Saccharomyces cerevisiae S288C: one gene and its partners. Changing the gene in region 1 together with any one later gene gives a genetic interaction. Each region holds a gene or a part of one and is shown in the gene's direction. Other genes may lie near its edges. The genes, in order: ARC40, SAC6, SHE4 and SKT5.

What was found.
Region 2: mutations in ARC40 (region 1) and SAC6 are lethal when combined (synthetic lethality), as found in Saccharomyces cerevisiae (2 studies listed by BioGRID).
Region 3: mutations in ARC40 (region 1) and SHE4 are lethal when combined (synthetic lethality), as found in Saccharomyces cerevisiae (3 studies listed by BioGRID, with this or other methods).
Region 4: mutations in ARC40 (region 1) and SKT5 impair growth when combined (synthetic growth defect), as found in Saccharomyces cerevisiae (3 studies listed by BioGRID, with this or other methods).

The regions. Positions count from the first base shown.
Region 1 is NC_001134.8:684,845-692,299, reverse strand, and holds ARC40 (Arc40p), read left to right. Parts: upstream 1-5,707; coding exon 5,708-6,862; downstream 6,863-7,455. Other genes in the region: DEAD-box RNA helicase PRP5, read right to left, coding at 1-331; ABD1 (mRNA (guanine-N7)-methyltransferase), read left to right, coding at 607-1,917; VHC1 (Vhc1p), read right to left, coding at 2,037-5,399; DAD3 (Dad3p), read right to left, coding at 7,039-7,323. UniProt on the Saccharomyces cerevisiae protein: Functions as a component of the Arp2/3 complex which is involved in regulation of actin polymerization and together with an activating nucleation-promoting factor (NPF) mediates the formation of branched actin networks.
Region 2 is NC_001136.10:710,857-719,513, reverse strand, and holds SAC6 (fimbrin), read left to right. Parts: upstream 1-4,134; coding exon 4,135-4,155; intron 4,156-4,266; coding exon 4,267-6,174; downstream 6,175-8,657. Other genes in the region: MRX16 (Mrx16p), read left to right, coding at 1-698; YDR131C (uncharacterized protein), read left to right, coding at 1,054-2,724; FIN1 (Fin1p), read left to right, coding at 2,892-3,767; MTC5 (Mtc5p), read right to left, coding at 6,519-8,657. UniProt on the Saccharomyces cerevisiae protein: Binds to actin, and functionally associates with actin structures involved in the development and maintenance of cell polarity.
Region 3 is NC_001147.6:395,186-402,606, reverse strand, and holds SHE4 (She4p), read left to right. Parts: upstream 1-2,502; coding exon 2,503-4,872; downstream 4,873-7,421. Other genes in the region: CYC2 (oxidoreductase), read right to left, coding at 1-1,052; SNAP receptor PEP12, read right to left, coding at 1,393-2,259; YOR034C-A (uncharacterized protein), read left to right, coding at 4,939-5,181; putative palmitoyltransferase AKR2, read left to right, coding at 5,521-7,421. UniProt on the Saccharomyces cerevisiae protein: Required for mother cell-specific ho expression. Might be required for the transport of factors (such as ASH1) that promote HO repression from the mother cell into its bud.
Region 4 is NC_001134.8:102,552-110,973, reverse strand, and holds SKT5 (Skt5p), read left to right. Parts: upstream 1-3,567; coding exon 3,568-5,658; downstream 5,659-8,422. Other genes in the region: IAI11 (Iai11p), read right to left, coding at 1-25, 95-380; CMC2 (Cmc2p), read left to right, coding at 435-468, 554-849; Arf family guanine nucleotide exchange factor YEL1, read right to left, coding at 979-3,042; KIP1 (Kip1p), read right to left, coding at 5,753-8,422. UniProt on the Saccharomyces cerevisiae protein: Activator of the chitin synthase CHS3 which polymerizes chitin, a structural polymer of the fungal cell wall.

The DNA.
Region 1 (7,455 bases):
CGTCATCACTGAAGTCGAAGGATATTTTCTTCTTTACCTTACTTCTCTTCGACTTTTTCTTCGAAGGCTTAACCGATACAGGTTCGTCAGATTTCCTAAATTCATTTTTTCTCTTCCGAAGCTCTTCTTTTACACGTTCCTGTCTTTCCGTAAACTTTTCAGTAGTCTGCTTACCTTCTAAACTGTTAGTAACAATGTCATTGCGTGAAGTTTGATGCTCTTTCTGAGCATCAAATTGTGCTTTTTTTTGTTTCCATTTTGCTAGTTTTTTCCTCCTTTCCTCCAATAAAGACTCCCTATTAATATTTTGCTTCGAATCAATAGTTTCCATACCTCAAATAAACCCAAGGCAACAGCGTTATGATTTCCCTTCTCGAATTATTTGGCGCTGTATTATATTAGAAAGAACTCTAATACCTTTAGTTTGGTCCATTGCTCTAAATGACTTTAATTAGTTTCATCTAATCCGGGTAATGGTAAATCAAGATATTTCAACATAAATTAGAAGATTTCTTATTTTAATCCTTTACATGTGAGACACTTTTCCGATTAATGTGACAACTACTACAACGTGGAGTCGTCCATTATCCGTCTTAGAAAAGTAGAATGTCAACCAAACCAGAGAAGCCAATATGGATGTCACAAGAAGACTATGACCGTCAGTACGGCTCAATTACTGGTGATGAATCGTCCACAGTCTCAAAAAAAGACTCCAAAGTTACTGCCAATGCGCCTGGTGATGGTAATGGATCATTACCAGTTTTGCAAAGCAGCTCTATCCTTACTTCTAAGGTGTCTGATCTACCCATTGAGGCAGAATCCGGGTTTAAAATCCAAAAGAGAAGACATGAAAGGTATGATCAAGAGGAAAGATTACGCAAACAGCGTGCTCAAAAATTGAGAGAAGAGCAACTAAAGAGACATGAAATAGAGATGACTGCAAATAGATCCATAAATGTTGACCAGATTGTCCGAGAGCACTATAATGAACGTACAATAATCGCCAATCGCGCTAAGAGGAATCTATCGCCTATTATTAAGCTTCGTAATTTTAACAATGCGATTAAGTATATGTTAATTGACAAATATACAAAACCTGGAGATGTCGTTTTAGAACTCGGATGTGGCAAAGGTGGTGATTTAAGAAAATATGGTGCTGCAGGTATTTCACAGTTTATTGGTATTGACATTTCCAATGCCTCTATCCAAGAAGCTCATAAGAGATACCGGTCCATGAGAAATTTGGACTACCAAGTTGTGCTAATTACTGGGGATTGCTTTGGCGAATCATTAGGTGTTGCAGTAGAGCCCTTCCCAGACTGTAGATTTCCGTGTGATATCGTTTCGACGCAATTTTGCTTGCATTATGCTTTTGAGACCGAAGAAAAAGCAAGGAGAGCTTTACTGAATGTCGCCAAATCACTCAAAATTGGTGGTCACTTTTTTGGCACGATACCAGATTCAGAATTCATTCGTTATAAACTGAATAAATTTCCCAAAGAAGTGGAAAAGCCATCTTGGGGAAACTCCATTTATAAAGTGACATTTGAGAATAATTCATACCAAAAGAATGATTATGAGTTCACATCGCCTTATGGTCAAATGTATACTTATTGGCTAGAAGATGCTATAGATAATGTTCCTGAATATGTTGTGCCATTCGAAACCTTAAGAAGTTTGGCTGATGAATACGGTTTGGAACTAGTATCGCAAATGCCTTTTAATAAATTTTTTGTCCAAGAAATTCCCAAATGGATTGAGAGGTTTTCGCCTAAAATGAGGGAAGGTTTACAAAGATCTGATGGTAGATATGGTGTTGAAGGGGATGAAAAGGAAGCGGCATCATATTTCTATACCATGTTTGCATTCCGTAAGGTAAAACAGTATATCGAACCGGAAAGCGTAAAGCCCAACTGAAATAAAAATGAATAGAAACAATAACCCTACTATAAAGCATCTGTATTTCGGCCGTATTACAAGACTTCTATATGTAGTAAATAAGTTCTGGGGAAATGCATAACGATATATGTGTTATTCTATAATGCAGTAGTTACTGTCATGGTTTGCGAATTGATTAACATGCATGGAGGTAAGCCCTCCAACCAAATATCCAAGTCCTCGACATATTGTAAACTTGCATCGTGATCTTCATGTGTTCCAAGAGCTGGAACTGGCAAGGTTGAAAAAATTAAATCCGAACTCTTTGACATTTGTGTCATCACATCATTCAGAACCAAATGTTGAGCAGTGCTGGGAAGATCATTGAAACCTAAATTTTGCATCGCTGTGACTAAACTATCTTTTGAACAACAAGGTGATAATTCGGGAAGAACCGGTTTCTTTAATTTGTTGCCGTTGCCAATACCGCTCCCAGTACCGTTCCCATTCGAAAGGTCAGGTTCGGCAATTGGGATCAGTGTCGGCTGTTCACCCGTGCCATCTTCCACGACTCTCGTCCTCGGCAAAGTATTACTCGAGAAAACGGGTCTTAACGACTGTGTTGACACATCGCTTTGTAAATTCTTTACGAGTAAATTTGTTCTGTCGGAACCGGTCTTCGATTTGGTCGTTAAGTCCTTACCTACTGAAATATTAGTCGATGCCGAGAAGGCATCACGAATTGACGTAAGATCTGTATCCAAATCGGAGTCCTCACTCTCGCATGGGGTATCAATGCGGTTAGTTGGCATTCTCGTATTCATTGTAAATGAGACACCCAATTTCTGAACCCCAGACGTATATTTTCTTGATTGTGTAAATTGCTTTGCTATCGTTTGAGGTTCAATAGTGGAAAACCTCCGCTTCGGTTTTAATGTATCACGAGCTTCAACCAAATCTTTCCACCATTCATTATCGGCCAATTTCGAGTTGACATAATCAAACACGATTGGGTCTCCCTTGACAATTGTGTTGTATACTCTGAATTGATCTAAAGATACTACCAAAACCTCTGCGTCAATTCTTAGAACCTGTAATAGCTTTTTCATTCGTTGAGTTTCGTTCGTTCTATGATATTCTTGTTCCACAAATAAAATAACTCGAAGCGAATGTGTGCGCTTCCATTCAGGAACAGTAACCAAAATGGCAGCTAATTGTAGAATCAGTGTATACGTATCAAAGTTAGTAGTGATAGCCGCAGGCTGGTCACCCTTTGCCTCAACTTTTCCGCACATTTGGATGGGATAAAGATCTATAGTTTTTTTTGGAAAGCAGCTGTCCCTTTTGTTCGGTATCTCTAAATTTTTGAATCCATGCGCTATGGCAATATTGGATTGCATCAGTGATAGATCTTCTACAATTTGAACCCATTGTTGTACATTAACTTTGGTTTCATTTTTACACTCATCCGTAGGCAATGGAACATTGATTTTGACATCAGAGCATGTACTACGTGGCACTGTAGCTTTTATTTCCACCTGTTTCTGAAGGTTATTTTGGCTGCGACTTTGTGGGATGTGCTTTCTATAACTTTCGAGGTCAAAAAAACCGACAACAGTAATGTTTGGTTTCATACCTCCAAGCCCGGAACCAATAAAAACATTCCTAATTCCCCATATAAGGGAGGGACCAGTCCCAACTTGGACAAAAGCCTTTATTGCTGCCATGTCTCTGATCTTCATCCAAGCTTTCTGCTGAGTTTTTAATTCATTTAGTTGCTTCGGAAAATCCGCAGTTACTGCAACATGGCCTAAAATATACAAACCACCTTTTTTCAAATGATTGCAAAACCTTATTAAGTTCCAGCTCGTCCTTGGATTATCTACAAACAGCAATATTTGAGGCCTCCAGTATTTAATATTGTCTTGACGTAGGCGAAGCAAATACTTTCTCACTTGATGATATATTAAACTTTGAGACACATCACCCCAAGACTTCGGTGGTGAAAAATAATGAATGAATAAAAATAGCAAAATCATAGCCAAAAACAAGACAGACGCTGAGATGCCATCAACTATTAACATCGCAACAACAGAAAGTAATGCGCCAATTGCTGTAGTATACCTGTTAAAGTATTTGAAAGAGGGCCTGAAATTGGGAGCAGAGGAAATACCTAATAGGAAGCACGCCAAATTCATGACCACAAACGTCATTAAGAATGTCATTGTGATAAATGTGGCGATTTTATTGACGTCTGAAAACAAACATAGCTGTGTTAGAATCCAAGTAAAAATCAATGAATATAACGGTGAATGAGCAAAAATCTCCAAACCAGGAATAATGTTATCCTTTGCAATTGCTTCTAATACATAAGCAGCACCGAGCATCCCCACTATGATGGAGAAAAGAGAAGTAGCCATTTCACCCATGAATATAACCCACTGAACGGAACTGATCGTCTGTATAATTTGTACTTCATCATATAACGATCTTCTGGGAATGGAACAACCCATGGAGAAGACAACAACGGCATAACAGATAAAAGTGAAAAGTAAACCCCATAAGGTACCCTTAGGAATTGATTTAGAGGGCTTTCTCAATTCACTTGACATTCCTGCGCCCGCGAATATACCAGCTGTAGCAGGAAAAAAAACGCCAAATAAATCATTGAATGTTTCCTTACCTTTGAGTAACGAACCTGCTGCACCTTTTGTTAAGTGAGGGAGCAGGTTATCATGAAAAGTTTGCCATGAAGGACCTGTATAACTGATACCGCCTTCAGTGAATGGCGATCTTATCAATGCAGAAAGTGGAATGGAAAATATAGAAGCTGCCAGTACCAAAAAAAGAATATTCCCTGCTCTTGACACTGTTTGCGAGCCAACAAAAGCCACAGAAAAACATAAGAAAAGAATGACCGTGGCATATGTAAATTCGTGCCAATGCCCTCTTGGTAGTAGCTCTCCCAAAGCTGCAGGTGGCTCGCCTTGAGCAGAATAACCCAAGTTATAGAGTAAAGGTTCGATAATACCCACTGCGTTCATACCTGCATTGAACACCTGCCCTAAGAAAAAGACAAGCCCAATGGATCCACCAAATTCAGGTCCTAAACTTCTTGAAATCATATAATAAGCACCCCCGCCCCTAACAGTCCCGTTTGTAGATATAGCAGATATACTTAACGTGGTGAGAAGATTAATAGTGTAACTCAATAGCAGAAGACCGATGGTGCATATAATACCTAACTGACCCAAAATGAAGCCAAAACGAAGAAACATAAGGATAGACAATACGTTTAAAGCAGTAGGCACAAATACCCCATCGTATGTTCCCAACTTATCTTTGTTTGGGTTATCAGGATCATACTTAGAGGAAACTTTTTGGCATTCAGGGGTCGCCTGATAATTGAAATATGTTTGACTTATTCTCCTTGCAGACAACAGTGAAGAAGATTCATTTGAAGAAGATATTGCCGACGATGGCCGATGCGTACCTGGAATCTGATAAAACCTACTAACCATTAATCCTACAAGAAAGGCCTATTCTTAAAGAGAATTGGCTGGCAAAAACACTGTCTCTATCACTTCTTCGACAACAAGCACAACCATTTCTTAGATTTCCTTGTTACTCTTTAACAACAATGTTGATAATGAATCCTACGTTATCAGTTGCACAATTATCAAAATCTTCTTGTCACCCGCCCGCGCCTTGCCTATAATGAAAAAGGGTCAAATAAGAGCAATCTTGATCGAGAAAGCTTCCAGATTAGAAACAAAGAAAAATAGGAAAAATAAGCCGAAGTAAACGTATATTAGTTGAGAGTCTCCTAATGTCATTTTCCAATTCTAAAGACAAGTCCGTTGTTGCCGTCTACAAGCTGGTCAAAGCGCCAATCTACTCTCATTGCTTTTCTCAAGATAAATCTATTTTAGCCGTTACATGCGAAACAGATTGTCTTGTCTATAGAGTTTCAAACAACACACCTCCCGTTTTATTCGCAACGTTGAAAGATCATGATAAAACCATTACTGCTGTGGACATTTCCATACATGGTCGTATTGTGACTTGCTCCCAAGACCGTAATGCTTACGTTTGGGAGCCATTGAGTGATGGGACATACAAGCCCACGTTAGTACTTCTTCGTATTAACAGAGCAGCTACTTCAGTTACATGGGCACCAAATGGTTATAAGTTTGCTGTTGGGTCCAGTGCTAGAATCATCGCTGTTTGTTATTACGAACACGAGAATAATTGGTGGGTATCCAAGCACATCAAGAAACCCATCAAATCTACCATCAATTGCCTGTCTTGGCATGCAAATGGAGTCCTATTAGCTGCTGGTGGTACTGATGGGTTTATGCGTGTGTTCAGCGGGTTTATCAAGGGTTTGGATTCCAAGGAATCCGTCGCCGGATCACCCTGGGGCCAGAAATTCCCTTTTGGTTGTTTAATCAGGGAGTGGTATCAGGGTTCTTATATCCATGATGTGGAATGGAGAAGTCAGATGGAAAGAATTGCTTATGTAGCGCATGATGGTACTTTGAATGTTGTCGATTACCAATCTCCAGTGCAATCTGTCAATGCTCCGGAAGGTTTACCTTACAGGTCCTTAGTATGGATAAACGACCACGAGATTGTTTGTGGAGGATACTCTTGTCATCCGGTATTGTTCAGCGAAGCCTCTGAAGGCTGGAAATTTGCGAAGAATCTAGACAAATCAGACAATAACAAGTCTTCTGCCTTAACTGCATCTGGTAATACAGACGAGCTGAGTGGTAATAATGATGAAAGTTCAACTTTCGGTATTTCCGCATTGAGAAAGTTTAAAGAATTAGACTTGAAAGGTAAAGTTAGCACAGATGTCCAAGAAAGTGCACATGAAAACGCCATTGTGGAATTAAGACCTTTTGCGGAATCCAACGGCCAAATCACACAAGTCTCTTCCTGTGGGTTAGACGGTAAGATCGTCATTTATACAATTTAAATATACATACGTATATATATATATTGTTATGTGTATTCCCTACCTCATAATACACCTTGAGTTTGTATTGTTTTTTTCTTCACTTGGCATATACAGACTATATTATTACAACTCACAGCACAATGTAGTGTACCGTAAAAAATAAAGCATCAGAATCAATTTCTTGCACCAAACCATTATTTAGAATTGCTACCCAAAGACTCCTGTTCTTGCTTTCTTTGCAAGATAAGCGAGTACACGCTACCTTTTAGCAGTGTCCCAACTAAACCAATTTTGACCTCTATGTCCCTCATCTCCTGTAGTATCTCATCTGGCGATACAGTTTCTTGCTGTGAATGCTGTTGCCTGTGTTGCGAATAGTTTAGTTCTTTTATAGTTTCATCCAGAGCTTTTAGATCTAAAGAAAGCTGTTTGTATTTGTCCAATACTTCTTGCTGTAAAGGTGAAAGATTGTGTTCCATACTGTGACTACAACGCCGTGTATGTTTCACAGCGACTTTGACTGGCTACTGTAAGCTCTTCTTTTGTATTCTTTGGAATAGTTTATTTACATGTAATTACTGTAATAGCGCGCAGCCGAGCTAAAAAAAAAA
Region 2 (8,657 bases), on another chromosome or scaffold:
AAGGCATCACTTTTCCAGCTTCTTCTGCATTTTCAACCTCGCCCTACTTTGAAGACGATTTCTGTAGCATAAATGAATGCGACTCGCTATCAAAAACCCGTGAACAGCCAGCAAATAAAAAGATTAAACTTGACATGACTGAAAAATATAACGATTCCTGGAATATGCTTTGTTATAAGAGACCTTTTTTAGATAAGCATCCGAGAGAGTTGATATTTCAAATAAATTCGACTGATTGTACGATAATCCTCAATAAGGAAAGCCAAAGTATCCATGTAGACATAACTGGAGAATCCGCCTATAAGTTTGAGGCCTTATTTGGAAGTCATTTGCCAAATACACCCTCTGGTGCGCCTAAGTTGAAAAATTACCAGTATCGGTTCCCATCCGATAGTACGCAGACGAAAATTGAAACTCATTATTTACTTCCAGCATGCATATATCTCTGTGATTTGGACATAAACGGCATTAAGATTTCTCAAGTTCAAACTTTGCTAACTGATAAAAATAAATTCAATGACAGGGTCATTGACGTGTCTGATCCACTTGACCTTAGATTTTGTTCTGGTTTAAAGCTTTACTTAAGAAAGTCTCTCTGGAAACTGGCCGTGAAAGATGGCAATATTATGCTGATAGCTATTAAAGCTATAGCATTTAACGGAACTAAGGAATACTACAAGGGATATGAATATCTGTAGGATTAGCTTGATAAAATTACTCTTCTGCCAAGCTTTTAAGTATATGTATGCTCTCCGTTGTATTTTTTATATGCCATTATAGTACTTGAAGTATAACGGAAACCCATTGTAACTCACATTCCTGTAGTAGCTTCTTTTCTTACTTTTTGTAGGCTCTTGTCTCTTTTCTCTTGTTATTTATCAGTTAATATGTAAGAAAAAAATCGACTTCGGGAATTAGGATACAGACACCTCTTAAAACCAGAGATAAAGTAACGTAGAGAAAATAGTAGGATAATGTGTGCAAAAAGAAGAAACTTTGGTGTCTTAAAATAGATAAAAATAACCCTACTGCCAATTTGAAAGGGCCCGAAAAATGTTTGATAAGTTACCTTATGAGATTTTTAAACAAATTGCCTGGAGAATTCCGCAGGAAGATAAAATTTCGTTAACATATGTATGCAAAAGATCCTATGAATCAATTATACCTTTCATCTACCAGAATTTATTTCTTAATGAAACCTATCACATCAATGGTGACTATGATAACTCATTTGGAACCTGTTATTGGTCTGTCCTAAACTTTCACTACATAGATGAAGATGATTCCAATACTAAAAACGACATGTCGAATAGAAGACTAGCTAAAGTGAAATTTAGTTATTTCGAAAGAACATTAGCAGAGTCACCGAAAAGATTATGTCCCTTAATTAATCGAATACGTTGTACATGGCATTTAAATGAAGATGTGATGACAAATGTACTTAAATTGCTATCCGAGTATGGATCCAATTTGAAATTTGTCGATCAATTTGTTCGCTCATCAGTTAACAAGGGGCTAGAACCTTTATCAAAGCAATTAAAAACTCTAACATTAACGCCACCAACGTTAATGCCCACCCATAACAGTGTAAGCGGTTCTTATTTGAATAAAATTGATCGGTTGCTCTTGAAGTGCGATCTATCTCGATTAGAAAAACTTTCCATTCATATAAACGCATTGAAGTACTTCAAAAATACCGGGTCTCCTATGAAGATCAAAGCATTGGTATTAAATTTGCGACCCGACACACTTAACCTTGCGGAGTACGACGCTTCCGATGACTTCTTAAAAGAGCTAGAATACATCGACATATTTGATGCTTCCACCTTAAGGCAGCTAGAGATTTTGTCTTGGTACAGTCGCGACGATTTTCCCTCTGGCGAAGAAGGTGGTTTTGACAGGTTATATGTCAAATGGGGGCTAGAAGGATTTTGGAAATTTCCGAACATTGAGAAACTATCATTAGCGTCATTGGTTTACAGCGAATTTTTTCTAATGAATTGTTTGGCTGTGTTTCACAATTTAAAGATACTGAAACTTGATTACATGGGTAAATTTGACTTCGATGTGTCGTTGATTAACTTCTTATCTAAACAAGTGTGTGGCAAAAAATTACAGCGTTTTGACATACACTGCCAACTAAATCACAGGCTTTTTTTTCCCATGACAGATAACCCACTAACTCGCTTGAATTTCGATGGTTTCTGCCCTTGTTCAACTTGCAAAAATACAATTCACGAGGTCATTCTAAAAAAAATCTTTCCTGAAACCCGGTCAAAACTTTTAAAGAACCCAAATAAGTTCCAAGCCCATAATTTCTTTTACCAAATGTTTTTCGAGAACAAGATCATGCCCTATACAAACATTATTGACAACGAATCACCTGCGATGGGATGGGATTCTGTACCTATTGAAACGTTTGTACGAAAGTTCAATGAAAATCTGCAAAGCACCATAGAAAATACTGAGAATATTACAGTGAATAAAATTACTAGAGAAGATGCCATTAGTTTGTACCACTTATACCTTCATTATCTAAAAGACGTATTTAAAGTTTTTGAGCAAAGTTTGCCGAACTTAGAATATCTAACCATCAACGGTATACCTACAAAAATAATACAAGTGGACGAGTTACAACGATGCGCGGTTCCCCTCTTCTATAATAATGGCTATAAAAGCAACTCTGTTTATGAATTGGTGGACGCAGAAGCTCTATTTAGTTGATACTGTGAGACATGGCGGTTATAACACGTACATAATGATATATACTCTAAATACTGCAAATTGTCAACAAGAGGAAATCAAAACAAATGGATTGTATAGTCTAGTTAGAGCTTTCTCAGTGTTCTCACTGGATTGCAGTGATGTGACATAGTTCAATAAAACAAATTATGAGCAATAAAAGCAACCGCAGGAGTTTACGTGACATAGGGAATACGATTGGTCGAAATAATATACCAAGTGACAAGGACAATGTCTTTGTGAGATTGAGTATGTCCCCTTTGAGGACGACAAGCCAAAAAGAGTTTTTGAAACCACCTATGAGGATATCACCTAACAAGACAGATGGAATGAAGCATAGTATACAAGTAACACCAAGAAGGATTATGTCGCCGGAATGTCTGAAGGGCTATGTCTCTAAGGAAACTCAAAGCCTGGATAGGCCTCAGTTCAAAAATTCGAATAAAAATGTGAAGATCCAAAACTCAGATCATATAACTAATATAATATTCCCTACATCACCAACCAAACTGACATTCAGTAATGAAAATAAAATCGGGGGTGATGGTTCGTTAACGAGAATACGGGCCCGGTTTAAGAATGGACTCATGTCACCTGAAAGGATACAGCAGCAACAGCAGCAACATATTCTCCCATCGGATGCCAAAAGCAACACTGACCTCTGTTCTAATACTGAGCTCAAGGACGCCCCATTTGAGAATGACCTTCCTCGAGCTAAATTGAAAGGGAAGAATTTATTAGTTGAACTCAAGAAAGAAGAGGAAGACGTGGGAAATGGCATAGAATCCCTTACTAAATCGAACACTAAACTGAATTCCATGCTGGCGAACGAAGGTAAGATACACAAAGCTAGTTTCCAGAAAAGTGTAAAATTTAAACTACCTGATAATATAGTGACTGAAGAAACCGTGGAACTTAAAGAAATAAAGGACTTGCTACTACAAATGTTGAGAAGACAGCGAGAGATTGAATCAAGATTATCCAATATCGAACTTCAACTCACGGAAATACCGAAACATAAGTAATCATATCCCTTCTCACATTTTTTACACAGGAAGTAAGCAAGTTATGTTATATTTCCGACACTATAATTAATTCTTAGCAGTTAAAGGTGCTTTGTCTATATTACATTTACATACAGCTTGAGTGATCCTGACCGGATATAGGGTCCTATTTTCTTACGTGAACGGCTTTTCTTCTTGTTCCCGATGGCCTTCATGTGAAAAAGCACTCCTCGGGAGGCGGAAAAATATCAAAAGTACGGGGCGAAGTTTATAATGAAGATTTATCGATATAAATTTTGGTTATTTCAGGAGAACAAGAAAGCTCTTTACACTAAAATTATCAGAGAAGAAGCTGATATATTAGCCCTAAGGAGTACACCAAAACACAATGAATATTGTCAAATTACAAGTATGTATGCCTTTCTCGAATTCCCACACTGCTGAGCACAGTGAAAAAGTTTTTTCTACCTTTTAGGTTGTAATAAACGTTTCATATACTAACAAACTCTTCTGCGATTAGAGAAAATTTCCAATTTTGACTCAAGAGGATCTTTTTTCCACAATTGAAAAGTTCAGAGCCATTGACTTAGATGATAAAGGATGGGTTGAAAAACAGCAAGCTCTAGAAGCGGTGTCCAAAGATGGTGATGCTACTTATGACGAAGCAAGAGAAACCCTGAAGCATGTGGGTGTGGATGCGTCAGGCCGTGTTGAACTGGACGATTACGTCGGGTTGGTTGCAAAATTAAGAGAATCTAAAACAGGAGCTGCTCCACAGACCACTTTCAACGTAGCACCTAACTCAACCCCTATTGTTTCCACTGCTGCCACAGGACTACAGCACAAGGGTAAGGGTACTCAAGCCAAGATTATTGTTGCTGGCTCCCAAACAGGTACTACACATACCATCAATGAAGAAGAAAGACGTGAATTTACTAAACATATCAATAGCGTCTTGGCGGGAGACCAAGATATAGGTGATTTGCTTCCATTTCCTACTGATACTTTCCAATTATTTGATGAATGTAGGGATGGGTTGGTGCTATCTAAGTTGATCAACGACTCTGTTCCTGATACTATCGATACAAGAGTTTTGAATTGGCCTAAGAAGGGTAAGGAATTGAATAATTTTCAGGCTAGTGAAAATGCTAATATTGTTATTAATTCTGCAAAAGCCATTGGTTGTGTCGTTGTTAATGTTCATTCCGAGGACATTATTGAAGGTAGAGAGCATTTGATCCTGGGTTTGATTTGGCAAATTATTAGGAGAGGTTTGTTAAGTAAAATTGATATTAAGCTGCATCCTGAGTTATACCGTCTATTGGAGGATGATGAAACGTTGGAGCAATTTTTGAGGTTGCCTCCGGAGCAAATTCTACTACGTTGGTTTAACTACCATTTGAAGCAAGCAAACTGGAACAGAAGGGTTACCAATTTTTCAAAAGACGTGTCTGATGGTGAAAACTATACTATCTTGTTGAACCAGTTGGACCCCGCCTTGTGTTCTAAGGCACCATTACAAACCACAGATTTAATGGAGAGAGCTGAGCAAGTTTTACAAAATGCTGAAAAGCTAGATTGTAGAAAGTATTTAACCCCAAGTTCATTAGTTGCGGGGAACCCTAAATTAAACCTGGCTTTCGTGGCACATCTATTCAATACACATCCTGGATTAGAGCCTATTCAGGAAGAGGAAAAGCCTGAAATTGAAGAATTTGACGCCGAAGGTGAGAGAGAGGCAAGAGTCTTTACCTTATGGTTGAACTCTCTTGACGTTGATCCACCTGTCATTTCGCTGTTTGATGATTTGAAGGATGGTTTGATATTATTGCAAGCTTACGAAAAGGTGATGCCCGGTGCTGTTGATTTTAAACATGTCAACAAAAGACCGGCCTCGGGTGCAGAGATATCCAGATTCAAAGCCTTAGAAAACACCAACTATGCAGTCGACTTGGGCAGAGCCAAAGGATTTTCTTTGGTTGGTATCGAAGGATCTGATATTGTAGATGGTAACAAATTACTGACCTTAGGGTTAGTGTGGCAATTGATGCGTAGAAATATTTCGATAACCATGAAGACATTATCCTCAAGTGGTAGAGACATGAGTGATTCTCAAATATTAAAGTGGGCCCAAGACCAGGTAACTAAAGGTGGTAAAAACTCTACCATTAGATCATTTAAGGACCAAGCTTTATCAAACGCCCACTTCTTATTGGATGTTCTGAATGGTATCGCGCCGGGCTATGTTGATTATGATCTAGTCACCCCTGGTAACACCGAGGAAGAAAGGTACGCAAACGCAAGATTGGCTATTTCTATTGCTAGAAAGTTGGGTGCTTTGATTTGGTTGGTGCCAGAAGATATCAACGAAGTTCGTGCAAGATTAATTATTACTTTTATCGCTTCGTTAATGACTTTGAACAAATGAGCCAACAAACAACTTTCGTAACCTGTTTTCTACTCAGCTTTCTTGTTCCAATGCTCCGTTATACGATTGGTTAAGTGTACAACAATATATAGCCTCAAGTATTTCTGAAGTTTTTAATATGTAATAATAGATTTCAACTTCCACCTACTTTTATTCGTGATTACTGAGCCATTGTAAAAATGCCTCCAACGCTCAATGATTCCGTTGTCGTCTTCTATCATGCCTCTACTGGATTAAAAAATCGTAAATAAACTACTTATTAAGCCATATATCCTGTGAACTTTTTTTCATATACATCCAAGGTTCTTTGAAATATGCAGAAAATGTACGTGATAGTTAAGCTTTTAGGCATCGAACATTTCCGGACAATTGCACCCACATCCAGATGGGCACTCATCACCAATCTCCCACCATATCCTCGCGCACGAAGAGTGTAAAACATGTTGACAATTTCCACATATGAAGCTACTTCTTGTCACTCTTAAATCACAGTAATTACAATTTCGGGCTAGGAATTTTTCTTCTCCAAACTCGTTGTTCTCGATCCAGTGCGTAAGTACACCATTGTAAGGACTTTTCTTGTTATTGTTAGGGGGGATGCCTTGGGAACTATAAGAACTTCTGAAATCAGTACTAACTTTTAGAATTTTGACCCTTTCTAAAGGCAGTCCCCATCTAAAAAGTAACTTTGAATATTGATAAATATAAGTTTGGAACTTTGGTATGTCTGATACCTCTAAATGTAAGAGGTCTTCTTGTTCATAAGCTTCTATAATATCGTCATGTAAAAGCTCGACTTTGATGTCAGGCATTCTACTATGAAAAGGGCTGGATGAAATGGCACGGCTGCCCTGCTTTTGGGCCGGCTCCGTAAATTTACTACTACCATTAAGAGTGTTGTGCGTCCTTAACCTAGCGTGGTGGTCGTCGGACCTTATTGAGGAGTTGTCTCCTCCATGAATGTTTTTTCCTCTCAAATGATTACCATAAAAATTTGGTGTAACAGTGCTACTCCTAGACCTGGTGGAAAAAGCATCAGATCCTTTCCAAAATGATGTGTTTTGACTTTCGTTGTCATTAAACACAATGGTTCCTTCCATATTCTCTAATTCTTGCCCATAATATCTGGCTGGAATCTTTTTTCTCCTGGCGCTTAATATGACACAGCATAACATGGCCAGCATCTGTAAATTTTGTTGCCTCTCAAAGTAGACAATCGCTTCCTTTATGAACCACTTTATCCCCATGGGATGGTTATTCCATATAGTAGTATAAGGATCGTAATCACTTTGGTCTATCAACATATCAGATAATATTTGCCAACAATGACTAATTTCATCAAGGTCAAACTTTTCTGCCACCAAAGCGTTATTTCTAGCAAATCCTTCCGGTGTGGCATCCATAAATAAGTATTCTAATGCTAGTTCTTTGCGGTCGCTTAATAAACTGCTGAAATTTTTGGAAATCACTAAATTCTTATTTTTTTTGGTAGATTCTACTGTTTTCCCGGATTCCGAATGTACTGAGCTGAAAGCTTTAAAATTACCTCTTAGTATTGGAATTTTTGTTCTCACTATTATATCATTTCTCAATATATCGTCCCAATCGTCCGCGACACTATCAAATGAATCGTCGGAAGATGTCTCGTCGTCAAAGTATGTTCTTGAATCCCCATTAGTACCGCCTCCCAGCCCCAAGGTGTCCACGTACCGCTTAGGGCGAGCTTTCAATTCATCAGCAGCGGTGATTACACTGCTGTCAACTTCCTTATCATATAAAACTTGAGGCTCAATTTTAAAAGGATGCTTCTCTACCCCTGCTTCTTTTTGAGAGAGTTTAATTATTGCATTTTGCTTTTTCTCGGGTTTTTTCTCATTTGCAAAGAAGCAGAAGAGTTCACCTGTTGCAGTCCAACAAGATCCACACCCATTTGGAACAGGTGTCGTATCAAGAGCTAAATTTCTTCCAAAATCCAAACCTTGATTCGAAGTATCTGGGAATACCAGTGCTTCCTTGTATGACTCTATATCTGATTGCGAAGAAAGGTTTTCCGGGTTTTGAGAATCGGAATATGAACTATCCAGTGACGATAATTCTTCAAAATCTATGTGATCTGCAATATCAAAATTTAATAAGGGTTCTTGCCCTTCTTCGATGTCCTCCAGGCTAACCTTCTCACCTAAAACAAATCGTATACATGGCTCCAGGCAGTAAAGATTTGAGTCAGTATACTTTTGACCAATTGTTGCTAAATTGGAAAGTATTTCTTGTCTCTTACTCATGGTTAAATTTGAATTCTCTTCAATTGTGAATTTGGGGGGGTCCCCTTTGTTTGGATAGTTGAGAGGGAAATTAATACTTATTCGTAAGAATATATAATCATCAGGATTTTCCTCTGACCAGGGGCCATTAAGCGTCAGGCACAATTCCCTTGTGGACACGGATATCTTTTCAAAAACGACTTTTGGGAACTTGTGACCAAT
Region 3 (7,421 bases), on another chromosome or scaffold:
AACCCTCCTACTGGTCCCTGATTAAGATCGTATTTTCTTCCAGATATGCTACTAATATAACTTTCGGGGCCGCATACCAATGCCAACACAGGCATAATATTCTTGTTGTTAACGTTGGAAAAGGGGAGCAGACCTTTGTATGGGTAGGGCTTCGTGATTGATTTCTGGATACTTTTCAATACGTCTTGTTTAGTTTGTCGGTCTGTTTCAAAAATTTTTAACTGGACCCTGTTTGAAGCTTGAAGTCTTAAAAGGATAGGATACAAGGGTCCCAGTTGTTTAATGTTCTTATCCGTATGAAATAACTTTATAGTACCTCTAAATGGTGATTCAGTCAAAAGTAGTTGCAACGCAGTAACTATTCCGGTACCAGCGGTGAACATCATTATGTCATAAGGCTGGTAAATAAATTGGGAATTTTCTCTAACGTTATTGCCCCTTTCATTGCGATTATCCATGTATAAACAATCGCGAGATCTTTTTAGCTCATTAGGCAAATGAGGAAACTCATAATCGATAAACGGGCCTCTTATTTCAATTATATGTCCCTTGGGAAGATGGTGTAACCATCTTGCAACTTCTCCATTCTCATACTTCTTAATATAGAAAGATAATTTTCCATCTGCATTGTCACCATCTTTTAAGATTTCAATCTCTTTTGAAGCTGGGTTAAATTTAAGCGGTAGAGGCGTATAATTGCGGACCACCATGACTTCCGGTTGTTTGATCTCGACGGACCACAGATTTTCCGCAGTCATCAATGACCATATGTTAACTTTCTGCTTAAACAACGGAGTTACTTCCAATAAAAAATGTGATGAATCAATATCTCGCTTGTGTGAAATCTTGTACTTGACAAAATAAGATGGAGATAACTCATGTTTGTTTTCCCTCTCACTTGTGTACCTGTAGGTTAAATAACTGCTTACTGCTCCAACTGTCAGTAGGCAGCCTGTGATAAAAAAGTTCTTAGAGAAGCTGCTCTTTCTAGGTGACTTATGAAGCCTACGTGTTATTCGGGAACTGGATAGAACATAATTTTTCCACAGCATGCTACTTTTTCTTTTTTTCGTTTCCTCTTTTCTATTTTTGAAGGGTTCTTTCAACACGTTGCACTCTTCGAAGTTGTATTTTTCACTTGGGTTAAGTGAATTTTCACTCTTCATTAGGGTATGATGATATTAACAACATTTCAGAAGGGCAAGGAAAGGCGAAAAACTGAATTATGGAATATACTCTCTCTTTGCGGCTGGTTAAGATGCGACGGCGTAGAAATATTATGAGAGAGCCCATGCATTGTACAGTGAAAGTGCAAAACAAGTTCATTAACACGAATCTGTTTTAAGTGTATATATTATGTATATGATATTTGACGACGTGTGTTGGTTTGGTTTACAATTTCATAATGAGAAAAATAAAAAGAAGCATTACGAGAAGCACAATCAACAAATACACCCTCCATCTGCTCGTACGTTTTTGGTACCGCATGGCCTTCCTTAGCTCGTCTGAAGCCAATTGAGTGTTATCTGACGTTGTATAAATATTTGCTTCAATATTGTCAACTAGCACACCCTGCTGTTGAACAACACTTCCCAAATCTTTAAAAACTTCGTTCAGTTCCGTTATACCTCTTTCAATATTGCTGATTTCCTGGTCTCTTTGCTCGATAAGATTTTGCTGATAAGCAAACTCTTCGTTATTTATCGGGTCTCTCTCAATGACTATTTGGCTGCCTGGTATTCGAGTACTTTTTGAGCTATTCTGCCTTTGTTCTTCATCTAATAAAGCAGCATCATTTGCCATCTCACTTGCTTCAAGAGATTCTTTTGCTCTTTCATTAACTTGTTTCATTACTTGGGTAAACTGCCGCTGAATACCTTGAAACTCTTGAAAAGAGTAACTGACATCCCTCACAAGTTTCTCTCTCGCTATTATTTGAGTCTTATCCAGGCTAGCTTCCTCAATCGCATCCATCTTTTTCACTGATGTATTGACCTTTTTAATGAGCCCGCCTATTTCTTCTATCTTTGCCACAGATCTCTTATTAATTCTTTCCACAACTTTCGCACTAACATCTCCCCGATCTATAAATGACTTAAGTGTCGCGGTAAACTGCTGCAGCGTGCTTATTTGCCCATTTATTTCAAATAACTCTGCAGCAACCTCTTCTTTCAACGTTTGGAACTCAGGTGAATCACTGAATCTGGAACCGTTCCAAACGGCTTCATTATCACCACCAAAAAATTCGTCTTCCGACATCTCAACACAATTATTGTAGTAATTTACGTTATATTCTTCTATAAAAGCATTCTCTTTGGAGTGATAGCAGGCCTGTTTTATAGGGGATTATACTCTGGCGCAGTAGTTCATCGTCGATCATGATGATTATCAGCCGCGATAAGGCACGAAGGCTTAAATCCAATTACGAATCTTCTACTTAATAGTGAAGACGTTTTATCTAAACTACTCACATGAAAAGATTACTAAAAAATTAGAATCACGATGCCACTGTGTGAGAAAGGGAATGATCCAATCGATAGCTCTACTATTGATAGCCTCTGCGCTGCATTTGACAAGACTTTGAAATCCACCCCTGATGTCCAAAAATACAATGATGCTATAAATACAATTTTCCAGCTAAGGCAAAAATCTGAATCTGGGAAAATGCCGGCTGATTTAACGAATAGTGAAGCCCTTAAAGATCGTCAGAAAATCGAAGAAATATTGACCAGGTCTTACCAAGACCATTCTGAGTCCCGCGTACATTTATCTAAACTTATACAGAATGATATTCCCTTCGCACTCAATTTATTTGAAATATTATCAAGATCATCCATCCACGTTTTCGTTGGTTGCTTTTCCAATAAAGACGCAACAATTGCATTGTTAAATGAGCTGCAAATTAGGATACACTATGGCGAGGACACCCACGTCACGTATTTACTGAGCATAATTCTACAACTATTGAATAAGTTCAAGTACAATTTCAAGGAGGTGCGATTTTTAGTGAAGGAACTTATTTTGCGCATAAGCGAAGATGAAGTAAAATCGATGATGCTTATAATTTTTGCTGAATTACAATCAAGCTTCCAAAAAGACTTTGATAAAGCAGTGGTCGATTTCATGAGTAGCTTAATTGTGGAGGCAGAAATAGACGTTGGAAATGATCCATTGTCCATCATAGTCAAAACCCTATCAGAATTATATCCTTCATTGACAACACTTTGTTCTGAAATATTTTTGACCAAAGGACTAAGTAAGCTTTTTAAGAAGAGAGTATTCGAAGAGCAGGATTTACAGTTTACAAAAGAACTGCTGCGGTTATTATCTTCCGCGTGTATTGATGAGACCATGAGAACGTATATTACAGAAAATTACCTTCAACTATTGGAAAGATCACTAAACGTGGAAGATGTACAAATATATTCTGCATTGGTGTTAGTTAAGACATGGTCTTTCACAAAATTAACGTGTATAAACTTGAAGCAACTGTCCGAAATCTTTATAAACGCTATTTCAAGACGTATCATGCCAAAAATTGAAAATGTCAATGAAAGTGCGGTTAAGCTCGAGGAGGTTCCTAAAGTTGAAATGTCCGTTGAAGCGCTGGCATATTTAAGTCTAAAGGCCTCGGTTAAGATTATGATTAGGAGTAACGAGAGCTTTACTGAAATTCTATTAACTATGATTAAAAGCCAGAAAATGACGCACTGTTTATATGGTCTCTTAGTTATCATGGCAAATTTGTCCACTTTACCAGAGGAATCCAATGGTAGTTCACAGTCTATCAATGACTTAAAAAATTACGCAGATTTGAAGGGCCCAGGCGCAGACAAGGTAGGCGCAGAGAAAGAATCAAAGGAAGATATTCTTTTGTTTAACGAAAAGTACATATTAAGGACCGAGCTGATTTCCTTTTTGAAGAGGGAAATGCACAATTTGAGCCCCAATTGTAAACAACAAGTGGTTAGGGTTATATATAACATAACCCGCTCGAAAAACTTCATTCCTCAATGCATTTCACAAGGTGGTACAACTATCATCTTAGAATATTTGGCCAATAAGCAGGACATAGGGGAGCCAATACGGATTCTAGGGTGTCGGGCATTAACAAGAATGCTAATATTCACTAATCCGGGTTTGATATTTAAAAAATACTCTGCATTAAACGCTATCCCCTTCTTGTTCGAATTGTTGCCAAGGTCTACGCCAGTGGATGACAATCCGTTACATAACGACGAACAAATAAAGCTGACAGACAATTACGAGGCACTATTAGCTCTGACGAACTTGGCATCATCGGAGACCTCTGATGGTGAAGAAGTTTGCAAGCATATCGTATCTACAAAAGTATATTGGTCCACGATTGAGAATCTGATGCTAGACGAAAACGTTCCTTTGCAAAGATCAACATTAGAGCTCATAAGTAATATGATGAGTCATCCATTAACGATTGCTGCTAAGTTCTTTAACTTGGAAAATCCTCAGAGTTTGAGAAATTTTAATATATTGGTGAAACTTCTTCAGTTATCCGACGTTGAGTCTCAACGAGCAGTGGCTGCTATCTTTGCTAACATTGCCACCACGATTCCATTGATAGCTAAGGAACTGTTAACCAAGAAAGAACTAATCGAAAATGCTATTCAGGTATTTGCGGATCAAATTGATGACATTGAGTTAAGACAAAGGTTACTTATGCTTTTTTTTGGATTATTCGAAGTGATACCGGATAATGGCACTAACGAGGTGTATCCGTTGCTGCAAGAAAATCAAAAATTAAAGGATGCTTTAAATATGTCTTTAAAGAGAGGCGATTCAGGACCAGAGTTTTCAGCGGCAATTCCCGTTATCCTTGCTAAAATTAAAGTCTAATATGGAAAGAATCGCCATGTTTAACTCTTCTTAATTTTCACTAAGAAATACAACAGCACCCTGATAATGAACACACAAGAACTATGTAAGATTTTCGTAGCCAGAGAATATCCTCTGGTAGTGGTGCCCTTTATATATTTTGTTCTATTTTTACACCAGAAGTATCACACTACTCTAAATTATGTCTGGTACCCTACGTGTTCTAAAAGAATCTGGGTGAGAGAAAAAGGAAGAAAGTGCTCCTTTTTTTTTTTTTCAAAGGTGCCTCGGTCCGATGGCTTCGCAAACAATAGATGCCAAAGGAAATGATCTTCTCTTTTTCGCTTCTTTATTTTTTTTTAAGTTACGACTTCGTGCAGCCTGGGATGTACCAAGCTTGTTGTTAAACGAGCCTGACTTCTTAATCGCTTAATCTTAGTTGAATTTAGTAGTTCCAGTTTGTATGGCTGCTATTTTTGAGTATTTGGAATCATCTTTCGTTCAGCGATCTTTTTATCATTCACTTTGTCGTTTACAATTAGAAAGCGTCAAAACTTTGCATTTTTCATTTAATAATAACTGAACTCCACCAACTTTTTACTAGCAAGTTGTAAAGTTCATCGGTCAGATAAACATCTTAATTACCTGTGAAATACTCTACTGTTTCTTATGACCAGTATGTCAATTATTGATGATGAGAACGTGAAAAAAACTTCTAATGGGGCAGCTGTTGTCACTGATGTGGCTCAACACGCTGTAAGTGATTCGGACAATAACAAAGCGCAACTTCTAGGCGATGGATCCAACACTGAATATGTGGTTGATATTTTCATTGAAGCCGCTAAGGATGGGGATTTAAAAGTGGTGAAGGACGTGGTCGAAAGTGGAGCAGTGGATATTAATAACGACCGCATTGATGAATTATCCGGCTTACACTGGGCCTGTATAAACAATAGGTTTTCTGTAGCAAAGTTCCTATTACTTAGGGGAGCAAATCCTAACCAGGCGGCAGGCCCCGGAGGGGCTACTGCTTTGCACTGGGCCGCAAGGTACGGTAATATCTACATTGTTGACCTGCTTCTCAAACATGGCGCTGATCCGACGCTCAAAGATGAGCAGGGTCTTAACATCATGCATTTTAGCGTTTACAGTTCTAACATTTTACTTGTTGTTTATGTTCTTTATTTTGTCGTAAACAACAATGACAACGTCGATATCGATTCAAAAGATAACAATAACAGAACACCCCTACTTTGGGCTGCTTATCAAGGAGATTTTCTCACTGTAGAACTTTTATTGAAATTTGGCTCCACAGTTGCATGGACGGACAACAGAGGGTTCAATGCTCTCCATTGTGCTCTAGTTGGAGGTGATCAAAGGGTCATATGTGACTTAATACTTAGCGGTGCAAATTTCTACGAAAGGAATAACCAGAAGCAAGACTGTTTTGATCTAGCCGAAGGAATGGGAACCAAATCACTTTTTGAACAAGCGTTGCAACATCATGGATATGACAGGCTTGGAAATCAGAAAGACAAACTGTTCAAGAAAAGCTCGCATGCACAATTCACAATTTTTTTGTCACCATTTTTACTCATGGTTTACATATACTTAATTTCTCTCGTTCTTTCTCCAGTGCTAGCCATTATGCTTTCCCTACTGGTCACTGTTGTCATGGTCAACACATTAAAGAAGTTTGTATTACCATGCCTTCCCAGAAAAAACACTTACAAAGTTTCTTTGACTAGAACTCCCTTTTTCAGTGGCCTCTTTCTGTCCACTTTCTGTTTTTTAATATATATATGGACGAAGAAACTCTATCCATATAGTGTATCTGACTATACCATGAAAAACGTCCAGTTTTTGGTTACTTCCTTTCTCACAGTTGTACTATTTCTGAGATTAGTACGGTCAGATCCTGGTTGTCTGAAAACGGATGATAGTTTGACTTCGATACAAGAAACAATAAAACAACTGATTGACTTAGGGAAGTTTGATAGGGAAAACTTTTGTGTTGAGACATTAGAAAGGAAGCCTTTGAGGAGTAAATATTCTTTCTTTAGCGGCGCCCTGGTGGCCAGATATGACCATTATTGTCCATGGATTTATAATGATGTTGGCTTAAAAAATCACAAACTTTTTGTCTTCTTTGCTGTGACGGTCCAATATCACATGTTTTTGTTCATGTGGTTATGTCTGGCATATTTTAAGAAAACGAACTATATTTACGAACAAGTTGAAGAATATGCAAGATGTGCCCTGCTCAAGAATGAGACTTTGTGTAAGGGTTCTAATTACGATCCCTCTACCTTTTTTTTATTCATTTGGATTAGCGTAAACTTCATCTGGCTGGGGGCTATGTTGATTGTCCAGTTCTTCCAGATATTAAAAGGAATCACGACTCCTGAATTGTTCATCTTAATCAAGGAGGAGCACAAGGCAAAATTTATCAATCTGATACCCTTCGAAAACTCTATATATACCAGTGAAAGTAAAGGTGTTGAAGATAGTGATATGATTCCTGAAGGTCCAAGTGCGACCACCATTACTCACACAATTTCTATTGATGG
Region 4 (8,422 bases), 580 kb from region 1:
TTTGCTTGAAAAGTGTTCAATGGCACTATGTAAATAAGTTATGTTAGTAAACGTGTTCTTTGAGTATGAGGCCGAAGTTATTGCCTATGCATACCTTTTGCAGTTATCATTTTCTTCATGGCAATTCTACATGTTATAAGTGTAAAAATAGTGATTCCGAAGAATCGTGTCATCTGAGTTTTCCTCCTCTTTTTATAGTCGTCTATAAAATGTGTGACTTCCTCACTACTGATTTTGGGCTTGTCGTTTCTGCTCACTAACATTATTGTTGGCCAGTCCTTTATTTCGAATTTTCTTCTTGTGTTTACATTATGTTTCAATTCGCATATTACATTAATAGAGAAAGACCTATTAAAAAATCGCTGCGCGTCCAATAACATTCACTGATTTACAAGTGCAGTTGAACAAAAGCAAGATAAGACAAGTACTACAACATGCATCCACAGTTAGAAGCTGAACGTTTTCATTGTAAGTATCCAGATTTTACTTCATATATTTGCCTTTTTCTGTGCTCCGACTTACTAACATTGTATTCTCCCCTTCTTCATTTTAGCCTGTTTGGACTTCATCAATGCACTCGATAAATGCCATCAAAAGGAATATTACAAGAGAATATTTGGCCTTTGTAACAACGAAAAGGATGCTTTGAACAAGTGTCTCAAGGAGGCAAGTTTGAATAACAAGAAACGTGCTGTCATTGAAAGTAGAATAAAGAGAGCTGATGTAGAAAAGAGATGGAAGAAAATTGAGGAAGAAGAATATGGCGAGGACGCTATATTAAAGACTATCTTAGATAGACAGTACGCCAAGAAAAAGCAGGAAAGTGACAATGATGCGAACTCGAAATAAAAGCTTTTTTTCTGTCGCTACTTCATTCACACAAATCATCTCAATATCCCTTGTAAATAAAAGGCAGAGTACAGTTTTCAAGTTTATATTTCTTCAGCGCAGTCTTTATATTTATATCTTTAAATATACTTAGAACTGAACAGAACCCATGGCTTTTTGCAAAGCTTTCAAGTAGCTCAGTCGTTTCTTATATTGATTATTCATATACAAATATCTCGAATTCCAATTATTCATGACTGCTTCAAAATAGTTATCGTCAAAGCTCCAAATTTCGACCAGCTTATCCTTTATTTCGTTATGTTTATCTATCCATATACCAAGCTGTCTGGTGAAGTTCATCAATTCCTTTAGCCTTTCTTTTAGTTCGACCATCTCTACATCTTTCGCATCTTCGTATAGTAGCTCTAGCCCCAATAGTGGCTTCCATTCACTTACAACAATATTTTTAAGATTGAGGGAAGCGTGCTCTGTCAAGATCTTGTCACTCCATCCATATTCTGCGTTAGATACGGCTTCGAATTGTGTTAAAGGAACTGGAGAAATCCTACCTGCCCAGAAGTTGATACAGTCCATAAACTTGTGGGCTTCTTCAACACTTCTCGTCTGGAACTCCAGAACAAGCTTTGGTCCGTTGATATTCTCTGGAAAACTAACGGTAAAGTTGCCACTTTTCCTCTTGGTGTTTTTGTTACACACATTTGATTTCATTGCTCCACTACCTATAATTATATTATCTTGCACGACATGTGCTTCAGCTTCAAGCAGTGAGTAAGCAAAATAAGAGCTACTGATATCTTTGAAATAGTCGATGGTAGCACTGTCTGTTTCACTTGATTGGATGATATCCTTAACATCTGGTTTAATTTTGAAAATAAAAATTCTGCCCTCCTTGACCTGTATTTTCACCCTCTCCCATTCAGAATCCTTATTCAAATACGATAAAGAAGTCCTTCTAGATGTGTGCTCAATAAGTGTAGTCGTTTTAGATGGTTTTAGCCATCCGAAGAACGATTTGTTTCTCTTAGAGGTCATTTTTGGTGCCGCCACTTGATCTTTGTCTCTTTTAGAATATTTACGTGGTAAAGATTTCTTGCTTATAAGAATTAAATCGTCCATGAACCAACTGGAGCCGTTTTCGGTAATTAAACCGTCATCAAAAGACTCTTTAAGGTAGAGTGCATCCATGGGGTGATTATTGTGAAAGTTTTTATTTGATTTTGCGCTCATTTCTCGTACAGATACTTGACCATCTCTTGAATATAGTGTAGTAGAATTAGAGTTAACACTACGTAAATTTGATGTACTAAATTCCCGTGATCCTAGAGTAGAGAACCTTTTCAAGGAAGATTGGTTATCTGATATATTTATTGATGTTCTAGATTCTGTGCATAACGGTAAAGGCGTTTCATTTAACGTTTTATAGTATTCGGAAAGTTCTTCGATGATCAAATGTTCGCGGGAGTATATTTTCAATTCTTCGTATTCATTTTCCTCTCTTAGTGCCCTCAGTGTATTGTTGATAAATGCAACCATGGAAAACTTAATCTTTTTATGGTCAACTTGAAAGTTGTTGTGCAAATCCGAATTAAGGATCAACAGGGAAAATAAGACTATATGACATGACTTATAGCCTGACTTCCAATGTGTGTTCGGGTGGCAAGCTATCCATTCTATGCTCAAGCACTCTAGTATCCGGTCGATATTTTGCGCTTCTGCAATGAAATATATACTTTTCGATAAATTGAAAAGCGTTTCTAATAGTGACGACGGCAAAGGACTCAATAACTTTACAAACTCAGTCAAGACTTGATTATTGTTATCGTTTCCCAAGAAATTTGCATATTCCTTGTAAGATACATCTTTGAAAGTGCCTTCCAAGATCTCTGAGGCAATAAGATGACTATTCTGATCAGTTTCCTCGGATTGAGTGGAGCTAATATCTTCAGTACCAGTCCCCGCAGTGGCGGTATCCGTAGTAGGTATCACAGGTTTTTCGTCATTAGCAGCTTCCTTGTTTTGTAAAATATCACACATGTTGACCATCGTGGGAGACTGTAGCATATTTTTCATGCTAGTGGGCATCGACTTACTACCATGAAGGACGCCCTCACTTTCACTGAAATTGTCATTGTAGCCCTTTTGTGAGACCCCATAGGTGTCATTCTTTTTTACCTCGTTTAAACTGGCGCACATACCTCTTTGCGATCCCTTAATAGTCCATTGACTGCACAAAATTGTACCATCTAGTCAGCCTTACTGATCTCAAAGTTGATCCGTAAGATCAATGAACCGTCTCTATCATCTATAGATATTTTGCACCCAAACATCGCATTTTAAGTTCATTTGATTTAATATAATACATTTGAACATGCCATCGCACTTAGCTGCCATGTATAGGCCATAACTAATCGCTAATTATTTGTTGCAACTATCTGCAAATCTATACGACATATGTACATATGACTTTCACGAGTCTTCATGCATGTTTTAAGAAAGGTCATCGTTATATTTTCCCACGTTTCACTTCGCGTTTTGACTTGCTAAAAAAAGAACGAAAAATTCTTTCTGCAGACCCTCTCGAGGATGATGTAAGATTTAAGAGTAGAGACAAACTAGGTGTTGGCACTTGACTTTAGACTTGCTGTTAATAAGCCTTCCATTGTATACTACCAGGTTCTCGTCTTTTTTGGTGATAAAGTTAAAATAAAAGGATAAAAAATGGCAAGTTCACCGCAGGTACATCCATATAAGAAGCATTTAATGCAATCACAGCATATAAATTTTGATAACAGGGGCCTACAGTTTCAAAACAGTTCGTTGAAGGTAGGTCAAGATTTTTCAGATAATAAAGAGAATAGGGAAAACAGGGACAATGAAGACTTCAGTACCGCAGACCTTCCTAAGCGGTCGGCAAACCAACCGCTTATCAATGAGCATCTTAGAGCTGCGTCAGTACCTCTACTATCAAACGATATAGGCAATAGTCAAGAGGAAGATTTCGTTCCAGTCCCACCCCCACAGCTTCATCTTAATAATTCAAATAATACTTCCTTAAGTTCTTTGGGAAGTACTCCTACAAATTCTCCGTCACCGGGAGCATTAAGACAGACAAATTCGAGTACATCTCTTACGAAGGAGCAAATAAAGAAAAGAACTCGTTCTGTAGATTTGTCTCACATGTACCTGTTGAATGGTAGCAGTGATACCCAATTAACGGCTACTAATGAATCTGTAGCAGATTTGTCACATCAGATGATCAGTCGATATTTGGGTGGTAAAAATAATACTTCCTTAGTTCCAAGGCTAAAAACAATAGAAATGTATAGACAAAACGTTAAAAAATCTAAAGATCCTGAAGTGTTATTCCAGTATGCGCAATATATGTTACAAACCGCACTGACTATTGAATCTTCCAATGCTCTTGTTCAAGATAGTGACAAGGAAGGAAATGTCAGCCAATCTGACTTAAAACTTCAGTTTTTGAAAGAAGCGCAAAGTTATTTGAAGAAACTGAGCATAAAGGGTTATTCAGATGCCCAATACTTATTAGCGGACGGCTACTCATCCGGAGCATTTGGGAAGATTGAAAATAAAGAAGCATTTGTCTTATTTCAAGCAGCTGCAAAGCATGGTCATATAGAAAGTGCTTACAGAGCATCGCATTGCTTAGAAGAAGGACTAGGAACAACAAGAGATTCTCGTAAGTCAGTCAATTTTTTAAAGTTTGCGGCTAGCAGGAATCATCCCTCAGCAATGTATAAATTGGGACTTTATTCATTCTACGGCAGAATGGGTCTTCCAACCGACGTTAATACTAAATTAAATGGGGTAAAATGGTTATCAAGGGCTGCAGCAAGAGCTAATGAGTTGACGGCCGCAGCACCATACGAATTGGCTAAGATTTATCATGAAGGGTTCTTAGATGTTGTCATTCCGGATGAAAAGTATGCAATGGAACTATATATTCAAGCAGCAAGTTTAGGGCATGTTCCTTCAGCAACTTTGTTGGCACAGATTTATGAAACAGGTAATGATACAGTAGGGCAGGATACATCACTTTCTGTACACTATTATACGCAGGCAGCGTTAAAAGGCGATTCTGTGGCAATGTTAGGTTTATGTGCATGGTACTTACTGGGAGCAGAACCTGCTTTTGAAAAAGATGAAAATGAGGCTTTTCAATGGGCCTTGCGTGCAGCTAATGCTGGTTTGCCAAAGGCCCAATTCACTCTGGGCTACTTCTATGAGCATGGCAAGGGCTGTGATCGTAACATGGAATACGCATGGAAATGGTACGAGAAAGCTGCAGGGAACGAGGACAAGAGGGCGATTAATAAGCTACGCTCAAGGGACGGTGGACTAGCCAGCATTGGTAAAAAACAGCATAAAAAAAATAAAAGTATCAGTACTTTGAATTTATTCTCTACTGTGGACAGTCAAACAAGTAACGTAGGGTCAAATTCAAGAGTTTCTTCAAAATCTGAAACATTCTTTACTGGAAATCCAAAACGTGATCGTGAGCCACAAGGTTTGCAAATTAACATGAATTCAAACACGAATAGAAATGGTATTAAAACGGGTTCTGATACAAGCATCAGGAAAAGTTCTTCCTCAGCAAAGGGAATGTCAAGGGAAGTTGCTGAGCAGTCGATGGCAGCAAAGCAAGAAGTTAGTTTATCAAATATGGGCAGTTCAAACATGATTCGTAAAGATTTTCCTGCAGTAAAAACTGAGTCAAAAAAACCTACAAGCTTGAAGAACAAGAAGGATAAACAAGGTAAAAAAAAAAAAGACTGTGTAATTATGTAAGTACACATACTAGATTGTTTTCATTCTTTATAGGTGCAACAGTTTACACTCAATGCATATAGTGATACAAATATTTTACAATGGCTATATCCCCTTATTGATGAAGTTTTTTATTTTGCAGTATGTCATTATTTTCAGTTTCTTCTCCCTTCAATATTGGCTCGGTGGTAAATCTTCTCTTCAAATTGTTCTGCGATTCTCGTCCAGTACCCTCTGTATTTGGTAAGGTCTTTGATCTATTGGACTTGGCCGAGTTTATGCTTTTCGGTATAAGAACTTTTGGTAGAGGTTGATCAGGCACTGGCACTGGGGTTTTTGGACTGAATTGTGAAAGAGGAAAATTTTCATTAGTTGACAAGTTTGGTATACAAGTACGAGAATTAGATGTGTCGTCTTTGCTCTTATTTTCAGCATCCCTATAAATCTGAAATTGTTTTGGATAATCCAATAAGGGTAAAGCCTTGATTACTGACGCTTCAGGTCTTGTATGCTCATGAAGGGGTTTTTCTATGCTGTGAGCAGTGAAAATGTCCATACCCAGTATTTTCAGTGATTGTAGCTTCTCGCAATGTTCAGAAAGCACCTCATCTTGTGTTTTTGAGATTTGCATAATATTCTCATCGTAATCAGTTAATATAAAATTGCACAAAGAATTAAAATTTTCATTTATTGCAATCAAATTGATATTGTTTTCATTAGATATGGTTTCAATTTGTGATTGTATTTCATCTATTAATGACATGATCTTCTCATTTGTTAGGGCAATGTCTGAACAAATTATATTTTGAAATTTTTTAATAGAGGTCAATACTGGATTTGATGCGATTGTGTTATCATCGCCACAGGTTTCACAAATGGTTTGTGATATCTTGTTTAAAAATTCATTGATGGGCAAACTTCTCAGTTTGGAGGATATGTCCATGTTCATTCCGCGTGATAGACTGATTAAATCGTTAGTAAAGCTTTCATTGTTCTGAGAAACCGTTTTCAAAGTGTTTTCAGCATTATGAGCGAGGGATGCTATTGAGTCGGAATGAATTTTATTAACTACGATATCTGTTTCGTTGAAAATAGAGGCCGTCTTCTGCCAGATATCTTGATCCAACTTAGATTGTTTATCTTTTAGGTTATCGATACATTTGTTAAGTTCGTCGTGGAATTCACTACGCGTCCTGGAAACGTGATCCTGAAAATATCGCTTCATTTCAGCCAACTGTTGGTTGAATTGGTTAGAAATCCTGCGCTCATTGATCAGATCGTTTTTCAGTTTTTTTATTTCTAAATCTTGCTCTTTAATTAATTTCGATGATCCTGACTGCTGGTTTTCTATTAAAACATTCATACTATTCAAGTTAGTGGTGCAATTTTGCGATATTTCGTTTATGGAAGTTAGAATTGAACTGCCTATCGAATCAAGACAGCTTTTAATATCGTTTTGTAAATTTTTTAGAAATTGTTGATGTGATTGGTAGATTTCATTCAAATCTTTACGATAGTGAGAAGTAGAATCACTCTGAAATATTTCCAATGAAGTCGAAATACTACGCACCAGTTCGTTCATCTGATTCATCAATAAGTTAGTAGTAATGTTTAATAACGATTTGAGAGTAGAATCGTGTTTCGCCTTATGGGTATTTACGTTCCTGGTTAGTTCTTCGGTGACGCCTTTGATAACTTCGGAACATTTAGAGTTATAATTATTTAAAGAGCCCTGTAAAGTGTTCAAAGTCTGTAAAACTTGTTGAGAGATTTTTAATTGCATGTTCTGGTTCGTATTATACTGTTTTTGAGAATTTTCTAGTGAAAAATCTCTCTGTTGTATGACTTCATTCATTAGTTCGAGATTAGTATGGTGAATTTTTTGGATTTCCGAGTAAAAGTTAGAAAAATCGACATTAAAATTCTGTATTATGGCAATTAGTTTTTCCTTTTCAGACTGTAAAAGATTATTGATATCTAATTGGTTCAGGTAGTTTTCTTTGAATTTTTTAATTTGTTCTCGCAGGTTATGTATTTTTAGATTTTGCTCATCAATCAAGATAGAATTGCTCTCGTAAAGGTCCAACTGATCTTGAGTTATAAATATACCTTGTTTGTTTCTTGAATTTTTCAAATCATTTCTTAATTTTTCAATCTCTTGAATGTAGTCTTTGAGACATGTATCCTTCGATAAAGACTGATTTACTTGTGGAGTATTCTTAATTGATTTGGCTCTCGTTGCATATTCTAGCGTACTTGCAGTCTCTTCCATGGATATTTTCGCAGGTGATATAGTTGCGATAATGCATGTTTTCGTCATACCACCTAAAGAGTCTTGTAGCAATCTTGTTAGCTTAGATTCTCTGTAAGGTATATGGTTAGAATGATCAACGAGTGCGTTGATAACACGGCCTAGTGTTAGCAGCGATTTGTTTATTAGGCCAGCTTCTTGAGCCCTTTTATTCTCCGCACCCGATCTGTTGATGTTTTCACTGCCTGCCAAATCCACCAAATTCAATTTGCCAATTTTAACAAAATTTTTGTTTTGTCCATGGTCTTTGCTATCTTGCTCAACTATGTTTGTTGTGATTGTAAAGACGGTGTGAGACCTTGATGAAAGATCGTTGCATTTAGTAGCGGCCACTTTCCTTTTTAACGAACCCTGCATTAGCAAATTCAAGCCTTCGTGTGCAGAGTTAATAAAGATTTCCTGCATCCCCTTGACCATGATGGATGAATTATTGTTGTTATTGTCAAAAATACGAATCTGCCTCTTGGGATCGTT